Rattus norvegicus: one gene and its partner. The protein of the gene in region 2 interacts with the protein of the main gene of each other region in a pairwise test. Links are inferred from orthologs where the notes say so. Each region holds a gene or a part of one and is shown on either strand. Other genes may lie near its edges. The genes, in order: Ccdc90b and Tk1.

What was found.
Region 1: the proteins of Tk1 (region 2) and Ccdc90b interact in a two-hybrid assay, tested with the Homo sapiens proteins (2 studies listed by BioGRID and IntAct). The link is inferred for Rattus norvegicus from reciprocal best matches to the Homo sapiens genes TK1 and CCDC90B.

What each region holds. Positions count from the first base shown.
Region 1 is NC_086019.1:156,043,592-156,048,008, reverse strand, and holds the start of Ccdc90b (coiled-coil domain-containing protein 90B, mitochondrial precursor), read right to left. Parts: upstream 2,818-4,417; 5' UTR 2,516-2,817; coding exon 2,416-2,515; intron 1-2,415.
Region 2 is NC_086028.1:103,534,663-103,538,473, forward strand, and holds part of Tk1 (thymidine kinase, cytosolic), read right to left. Parts: intron 1,038-3,811; coding exon 948-1,037; intron 673-947; coding exon 553-672; intron 475-552; coding exon 289-474; 3' UTR 1-288. UniProt on the Homo sapiens protein: Cell-cycle-regulated enzyme of importance in nucleotide metabolism. Catalyzes the first enzymatic step in the salvage pathway converting thymidine into thymidine monophosphate.

The DNA of each region.
Region 1 (4,417 bases), on a different chromosome or scaffold from region 2:
ACACACAGGTGAGTCATAATCAATGAATTTGATTTAAAGTTCTGGAGCATTTACTGATCAGTATAGGAGATCTAAGAGCTACCAGGCATTTCTGACATCTTCCTGTCCTAATCCATTAAATTCCCAAAACTCAACTCAAACACAGTATAGTCTGATGAATCTTACTATGAAATATTTCCTCCAAGGATGAATTCTGCACGTATAAAAATTCTTAACTATTGTGATACATTAAGATAATAACTGTTAGGCTGGAGAGATGGCTCAGTGGTTAGAGCACTGACTGCTTTTCCAGAGGTCCTGACTTCAATTCCCAGCAACCACATGGTGGCTCACAACCATCTGTAATAGAATCTGATGCCCTCTTCTGGTGTGTCTGAAGACAGCTATAGTGCACTTATATATAATAAATGATTTTTTTTTTAAAAAAAGATAGTAACTGTCAGTGTGGTAGTCAAGTATAAGGTGTTCTACCAGATAAATGCTTCCAAAACAAGGTAGTAGTATTCTCATTTTTAAATTAAAAGATCATGCATTAAAGCTGCATTTGGTACCTAATGCTGAATATGGTGATTCTAGCACTCAAGAGACTGAGGCAGGAGGATCATAATTCAATGCTAGCCCGAGTTACATACTGAAACCAGTTCAGACTAGATCAAACCATACCAGGCTTAGAAAAGGCAAAGGAATTTGCTTAGGTTACAGACACAGTGATAGGTAATAGGATTCAAATTTAGGTTCTTTTGACTACAAAGCTCACATCTTATCTATAGCCTGTGTTGTTTTACTTTATCCCAAGCTACTTATATATCTAATTACTTAAAGGACAGGTTTAATTCCAACACTCAGAAGGCAGTCCAGTGTATTTCTGCGAGTTCAAGGCCAACCTGATCTAGAGCTCTAGGACAGCTAAGGTTGGTTACACAGTGAAACTCATCTCAAACAACTCCAAAGAATATACCCTAACATTAGAGTCTACTGACATGCTGTATATGTGCTATAGGAGATCTATGGCAAATTAAATGAACTAATGAAAACACTCCCCTCTCCACCTGAGGACTAATTCAGTACTTCTTAGTCATAAGGCTGGCAATCTGTACTTAAAAAGAAACATCTGTAGTGTTTCTGATATTCTGCTAAGTGTGGTTAATAATAACAAATTAAGACTGCAGCACCATCAATGAGAAAATTTAGACAAATCACAGCTTCCTCTGCATTTCACTATATAAAGAGTGTTGGACCAAATAAGGTATTTCCATGGGATAAGGATCAACTTTCAAATTTGCTAGACTATTGACATTATTTGTCTAGAGTGAGCAGGAACACAAACCATGCACTAATTTTAAGGGAGAGGGGACAAGATTTCCTCTCAAGAGTAATCAGATTCAAGGGGAATAACCTGACAATTATATTAAAATATTAACATTTTCCTGGGGTGCTATAATTTTGATAAAAGTACACAGATAAATTGAGATTTGAATTATTTCCTCATATTCAAAATAATGCTACCCCTTTGTGTGTGAGGCCTTTGTATCCTGCTGTCATGCTCCTATTTCTCTAAAAGGGCAGCTCTCATTGAACCTGGAATGGCTGAGAGCCACAGCAAGGGCCTTTTATGAGGGTACTGGGGATTCTACTGTGTGTTGTTATTCTTGTGCAGCACATGCTTTTACTAGTGGACCCACATCCCTATCCTTTTTTGAAAAGTCCATCAGACTGTGTATTTATACTATCTAAATACGTAATCAAAGATGTGACTAATTCTAGCAGTTAAACAGCAGACAAGGGCAGCCTTGACTTCAAGTTAGTGGAATAAATAGAATTAAATAACAGGCTATAAACAAAACAGTGGCAAACAACAAAACCACACAAGTGTGGAGGGAGGAGAAATGTGTCTGAATAGCTCAAATTCATAATAGATCCAGAAATAATAAAATGTGGAGGTTGGGATGCCTTTTACGGTGGAAAAAAATGAAAAACAAAAGTATAAAAAAACTCTAGGAAATAGTTCTCAGAGTAAAGTAAGATAGTCTCCTGGATACACAGACTAACAAAGGGCCCAAGTGTTTGGAAATGTATAGGTTCCAGGGCATTTAAAAACAAAACAAAACCCCACTATGTAATTTGTAAACCAGGATACTCGCAAACTACCTAAGAGTTCATTAACGTTATGACACTGAACCCCGCTCCGTGCCCCCACCAATTCAGAAGCCTAGCGGAAGGGCAAGTCCGCTGGGTCTAAAAGGAAGGCAGCCCTCCAACAGACCCCATCGGTTCAGCCAGCGACCCGCCCTCCCCGGAGCCTCGCGGGTGGCTTTGCGCGGGTGGGCGGGGCCCTGTAGGGGGTGTGTCACTCTCGCGGACGCCTGAGCAGGCACACCCGCCCGAACATTCTCCCTGAGCGAGTCTTCGCCTCACCTCTCCGCAGGGCGGGTGACAGACGCCCGTGGGGACTTGAAATCCAGCGGATTCCACTGCACTCGGGACGCAGGAACCGCCAAATCCAGCGGTTCCTCATATTCTCGGAGCTCCGGGTCAGCAAAGGGAAGCGGAATGTTGTTGATTCTCGCAGAGGCTTTCGGACAATGAAGTTCTCTCACCATAAGGATGCTGGGAAATGTAGTTTCCGATCTGTCACTAAAACACTTGTGGGGTTTTTCTTTAACAAAGCTAGGCCTCTTCACAGAGCCACACTTCTCATGACTCAGAGCTTATCCCTCTAGTCCATCGCCCCTTCCCCATCTCTTCCCGCCTTTACCGCCCTAAGAAACCGGGATCTTGGAGAACCTCTGGCGCCCATTTGCTGGTGGCGAGTTTGTCCCACAGCAAGCTTTCTAAACCGAGTCCTGTGTAGTCGCATAGCACCATGGGACTCGCAGTCCTCGCTGCTGAGGATTGTGGGGATGAGACCGGGTTGTTTCCTCGCCCAGAAAGCTTATGGAAGTACAAACCGCTGCACACATTTGTAGTTTCGCGTCTTTCTGCTTGGCCCTCTGGTGCACTGGAGGACCAACTGTTTTAGGCCTTTCCTTCAGGAAAACGAAATGAAAATTCTCCATTTACTGGGTCGATATCGTTCATGGTTTATCTCTCTCCGACTTAAGTTTCCAAAGTCATTGTTCCACCTGGTATCAAACAACGTACTAGTTACAATTGTCTTACCTAGACTTCAACTTTGTGGGAATCAGCTACCTACCAACCACCATTTCAAGCTCTGAGGCTCATTAAACGCAAAACTTGGTTCCCACCAGCAAGTACTTTAGTAGATTACACATGGAAGGAAATAAAAATGATTCTATCGGGGGTACTAGGGACAGAGGCAGGAGACACATCTCTCTACTGCAGATGGTTTCCTAGCATTAGAAGGGGAGGGACTCAGTGAACTAGACTATTGGGGGGAGGGCGGCAATGGGGGGAGGGTTGGGAGGGGAATACCCATAAGGAAGGGGAGGGGGGAGAAGGGAGGGGGAGGGGGGAGAAGGGAGGGGGAGGGGGGAGGGGGGAGGGGAAGGGGGGAGGGGGGAGGGGGATTTTTGCCCGGAAACCGGGAAAGGGAATAACACTCGAAATGTATATAAGAAATACTCAAGTTAATAAAAAAAAAAAAAAAAAAAGGAAAAAAAAAAAAGAAGGGGAGGGACTATTAGGAAAGAGGAAGGGGAGGGTAACAGGAGCAGTTAATGGGGAATAAACAAGCATAAAGTAATTATATTCTTGAGTAAGAATGCCATTATTAAACCCATCACTTGTACAGTGAATGTACACTAATGAAAGAATTTAGAAAAGAGGGGAGAGGTAGGATTCAAACCTGTTTTCGAGGATTTCCGTAAGCAGAGATAGTAGAACACAGGGTCCGGGAGACAGGGTTGGAGAGAGCAAACACACTTTATTAATCTGTTCTTACTCATGGCCTTTGCATATGTTGCAACTTGGAGAGCATTTTCTAATGTATTAGATCACCTTCTTCGTAATGGGCAGATCCCAGCTGACGCGCCATCTCCTGAAGCCTTTATGCTGCGTGCACCTTTGGTGGTTTAGTTAAGAACACAACCCTTCCTGCCATGAGCTGATCTATGTCCTTCAGGAGGGTGGTAACCACATCTATTGCTGAAGTCTAGTATTTAGCATAGTGCCTGGCCCATAACAAGCCTTTGATAAATATACATTAAATGAATCTGAGTGTTCGAAGTATGGCCATAATTTGGAAAAGAAACCTTTAGATAGGGGTAAAGGAATGCATGGATGCTGGGTAGAATTAGGGAAAATAGAGGTTAACAAAGAAGAATGAGTATGATTCTGAGGTTCATACAGTGGACTCGAGAAAATTTGAAAGTTTTTGAGCCACAGTAAGTTCAGAGTCCGTTTAAGTCTCTTTCCAGGAGGGAACTCTTTGCCATTCACCAATGTTGCAAAAACATCT
Region 2 (3,811 bases):
GAGGACTGACCACTCTTCCAGAGGTCCCAAGTTCAATTTCCAGCAAGGTCTCCCCATGCAGCTCTCTAGTGAAGCAAGACCAGTAAAGTATGATGTTGCCTGAATCACGGGGTTTAAGAGAGAAGCGTTGGGTTGGGGGCTCACAACCATTATAAGAAGGGAACTAAGAAAGGTTTCAACAAGCAGATAAGCCAAGGTGCAATGTCCAGTAGGAATGGCAGGCCCCGCCCCTTTCCCTGCTCTCTGGGAGTCCAACCTGGGGAAGGAGCTGGCAGGCCCCGGGTCCCCTCAGTTGGCAGAGTTACACTGTAGGATTTGCTGAGGGGCAAAGAGCTTCCTGACAGCCGGGATCTCTATAGGCTGCCCCAGCACTGAGTAGTTCTCTTTGTTGTCTGCAGTCTGGGCTGAAGACTTCTTAAAGTAGCACAGGCGGCAAACAGAGTGGTACTTGTCCGCTCCGCCAATCACCTCCACCTGGTAGGAGAGGCGTATGAGGGAGGACTCAGAAGCCTAAGCCCACCCCACTCCGTGGGCAGAAGCACAAGGAGATACCTCTTTCTCCAGGCCCAGCCTCTTGGTGTAGGAAGCTTCTCGAAAGCACTCCATGCACACAGCGGTGAGCTTCACCACACTCTCGGCCAAGGGCACCAGGTTCAAGATGCTGCCGAAAGCCTACACAGGACAGCAAAAGTGTTAGCCAGGCACTTCCCTCCCTGCCTGTGTTCACGTGTATGCGTGTGGAGGGAGTTCTGCGGAACTGACGCAAGCCTGTGTGCAAGGCAAGTGTGTTACAGCCTGGGCTGCCCCCAGCCCAACGCTTCTCTTTTAAACCCCATGATTCAGCAACATCATACTTTACTGGTCCTGCTTCACTAGAGAGCTGCATGGGGAGACCTTGCATGCTGTCTCCCCTCTCAAGACCGCTGCCATGGGTCAGACATCTTTACCTTCCTCTGGAAGGTTCCGTCCAGCGCCGCCACAATCACTGTCTTGCCTGTATTGGCCATCGTTTCACAGAAATCCACAATGTCAGGGAACTAGGAAAGTTCAGAGAGGATGAAGTGAGCCGTCCTGAGCAAGGGCCTCATGAAGACGGTGAGGGATCCGAGCACACAGGTAAGCCCAGAGCCGGAGATCAGACCGCACTGCCACTCCTGTGAAACATCCCACCTGCATGCCCACTGCTACCCAGGGCTGGCCCACAGAGGCCTCTACATACCAGAGAGGCTGGAACAGCAGTTCTCAACTAGTGGGTCGAGACCCCCCTGGGGTTGAACAGCTTAAACAGTGTGCATGAAGCCCTTGGCTCCACCCCCATCCCCTACCCCCACATCAAATGAGCCAGACAAGGTGTCCAACACAATACCACTACTTTAAAGGTAGAAGGATTAGGAAGTTAAAATAAACCAGGGCTGGAGAGATGGTTCAGGGGTTACAAGCATGGCTTGTTCTTATAGATAACTAGAATTCAATTCCCAGCACCCACAACAGATAGCTTACAAACCATCTGTAACTCCAGATGCAAGGACAGCTAATGTCCTCTTTTGGCATCTGCAGGCACCCACCCTCACATGCACACATGCACTTTTAGCCCCCATGGACAGCTGGAGGGAGGAAGGGAGGGAAGGAGGAGGGGGACTCTTGGTAATGAGATGTACAAGGCGTACGTAAGTAGGTTGGCAGGGATAGCTGCCCTCCGCCTTCCACTGTCTCTCAGGCCAGCCTCCCCCTTCACAGCACGGGTGTAGACCAGGTTAGCCTTGAACTCAGGAGATCTACTTGCCTCTGCCCCTGAAGTTCTAAGATTAAAGGCCTATGCTATGAGCCTGGCGCTTCCATTTCGTTTGAGCTGGGTCTCTTCCTGAATCTGGAGCACAGCTACTGGGCTGGGCTGCCTAGTCAGGGAGCTCCAGGGGCCTGCCTGTCTCTGCCTTCCTCACACTGGGATTATGGACATGTGGCTATACCCAGTGTTGTACACGGGTGCTAGGGACCCAAACTCAGGCACTCATGCCTGCAGAGCCAGGGCCTCCCTCACTGACAGAACTGTCTCCCCATCCCTTCTGTCTCTCACTTTTGATTGGTTACTGCTGTGCAACCCAGGCTGGCCTGGGTTGCAAAGCAATCTCCTGCCTGCCTGGTTCTTGGACCTTTTCTTGAACATATCTCTGCCCTACACCTTAACGTTCTAACCTTTCTCTTCTTCCACGGTCCCTCCCAGTTTTAGTCTTTCAACGGAGGTGAGGTGGAAGCTCCAGATTTATCTCCAGACCTAGAATGCCGCAGCCAAAGGGCAGAAACTTGGAATGGATGCGATTGGTCCCTGGACTCAGCCATTCCCACAATAGTCACAGCATGTGACATGGCTTGCTCTATAAAAACACACGTGTATAATTAGAAGCGTCCAGGCTGGACTGGCATTCATCAGAGTCCTGGCACTGGCTGAACATAATCTCTTGGGTCAACACCAGGCAAGGCAGGCACCCTGGCCGCATGAATAAAGACCCTTCCTCAGTCTCACGTGACCACTGACAAAGCAGGTGCAGTCTATGCCAGAAGCAATCAAACAAGCACCACCCTTCCGCCAAAAGGAGCTCGGTCCCCTCCCGGAGGGCCACTGTTCCACGACTAGTGTTTGCCCCGTGGCAGGCTTTAGAACCCACAATATTGGCTCGCAGGGCATTCCTGGTAGTTTCTGGTTCAAAGACACTTAAGTGGCAAGCCTCCTTTGTCTGGTGTGCTCCTGCTGTGCCCTACATTGAGCCTGTCATTACTGCGTCAAAAAGAAGGGAAACAAAGTTCTTAACGATGCAAGCTTCTAATCTTGCCCAGAAGCTGTGGGCCCTGCTTCTGGTGAATGAACACACGGGAAGCTCTATGTCCTCAGCTCTGGCTCCAGGGACCCTACAGGACCCTCTACCCACTGTCTGAGGACACAGGAAGGAAGGGCAATCTCCTTGTGTTACCACGAGGAGATCCTGAACTTAGTAAGGAACAGGGTCTAGAGTCTGGGGCGGAAGCACACAAGAATTGTGTTGTTTATACAGTGCACACTGAATACTCACTGTAGCCTGTGCGAGGGCCCATGACTACACAATACCAGCACTCAGGGGCCCGAGTTCTAATCTAGCCTGGACCACAAAGCAAGACCCCACCCCAAAACTCCAAGTAGCCACTAAATGAACTCGTTTTCCTTAATCATAAGGTGGGGTGGGGGTGGGGCGCATAGAAATAAATCTCTCCTATAGGTTAGGATGGGGAAGAGGGTTGGGGCGACTGGTAGGCTGGTGCCAGACCTGGGTATGAGTCTATCAAGCAGGAAGAGCTAAGAAAAGAAGGTAGTGGGCTGGAGAGATGGCTCAGCGGCTAAAAGCACTGACTGCCCTTCCAGAGGTCCTGAGTTCAATTCCCAGCAACCACGTGGTGGCTTACAACCATCTGTAACGGGATCTGATGCCCTCTTCTGGTGTGCATGAAGACAGCTATAGTGAATAAATAAACAAATCTTTAAAAAAAAAAAAAGAAAGAAAGAAAGAAAGAAAGAAAAGAAAAGAAGGTAGTGCCTAGGGAGTGCGGCTGGGCCTCTGGGAATACCAGGAGAGCACAGAGTAAGCAGGCTACTGCCGCAGGCCTGAGGGGGGAAACTGTGTCCTAAGTCAACGTCTGCACAGCCATTGCACTCCCAAGGTTTACCTCTGAGGACAAAACAGATCAGGCATGTCCAAATGGATAGACAGATGCCAAGAGCATGACGAGGGTATCATGGCCAGAGCTTTCTCATTCTATCCTGGGGGTCGGGGGCACACGAGGG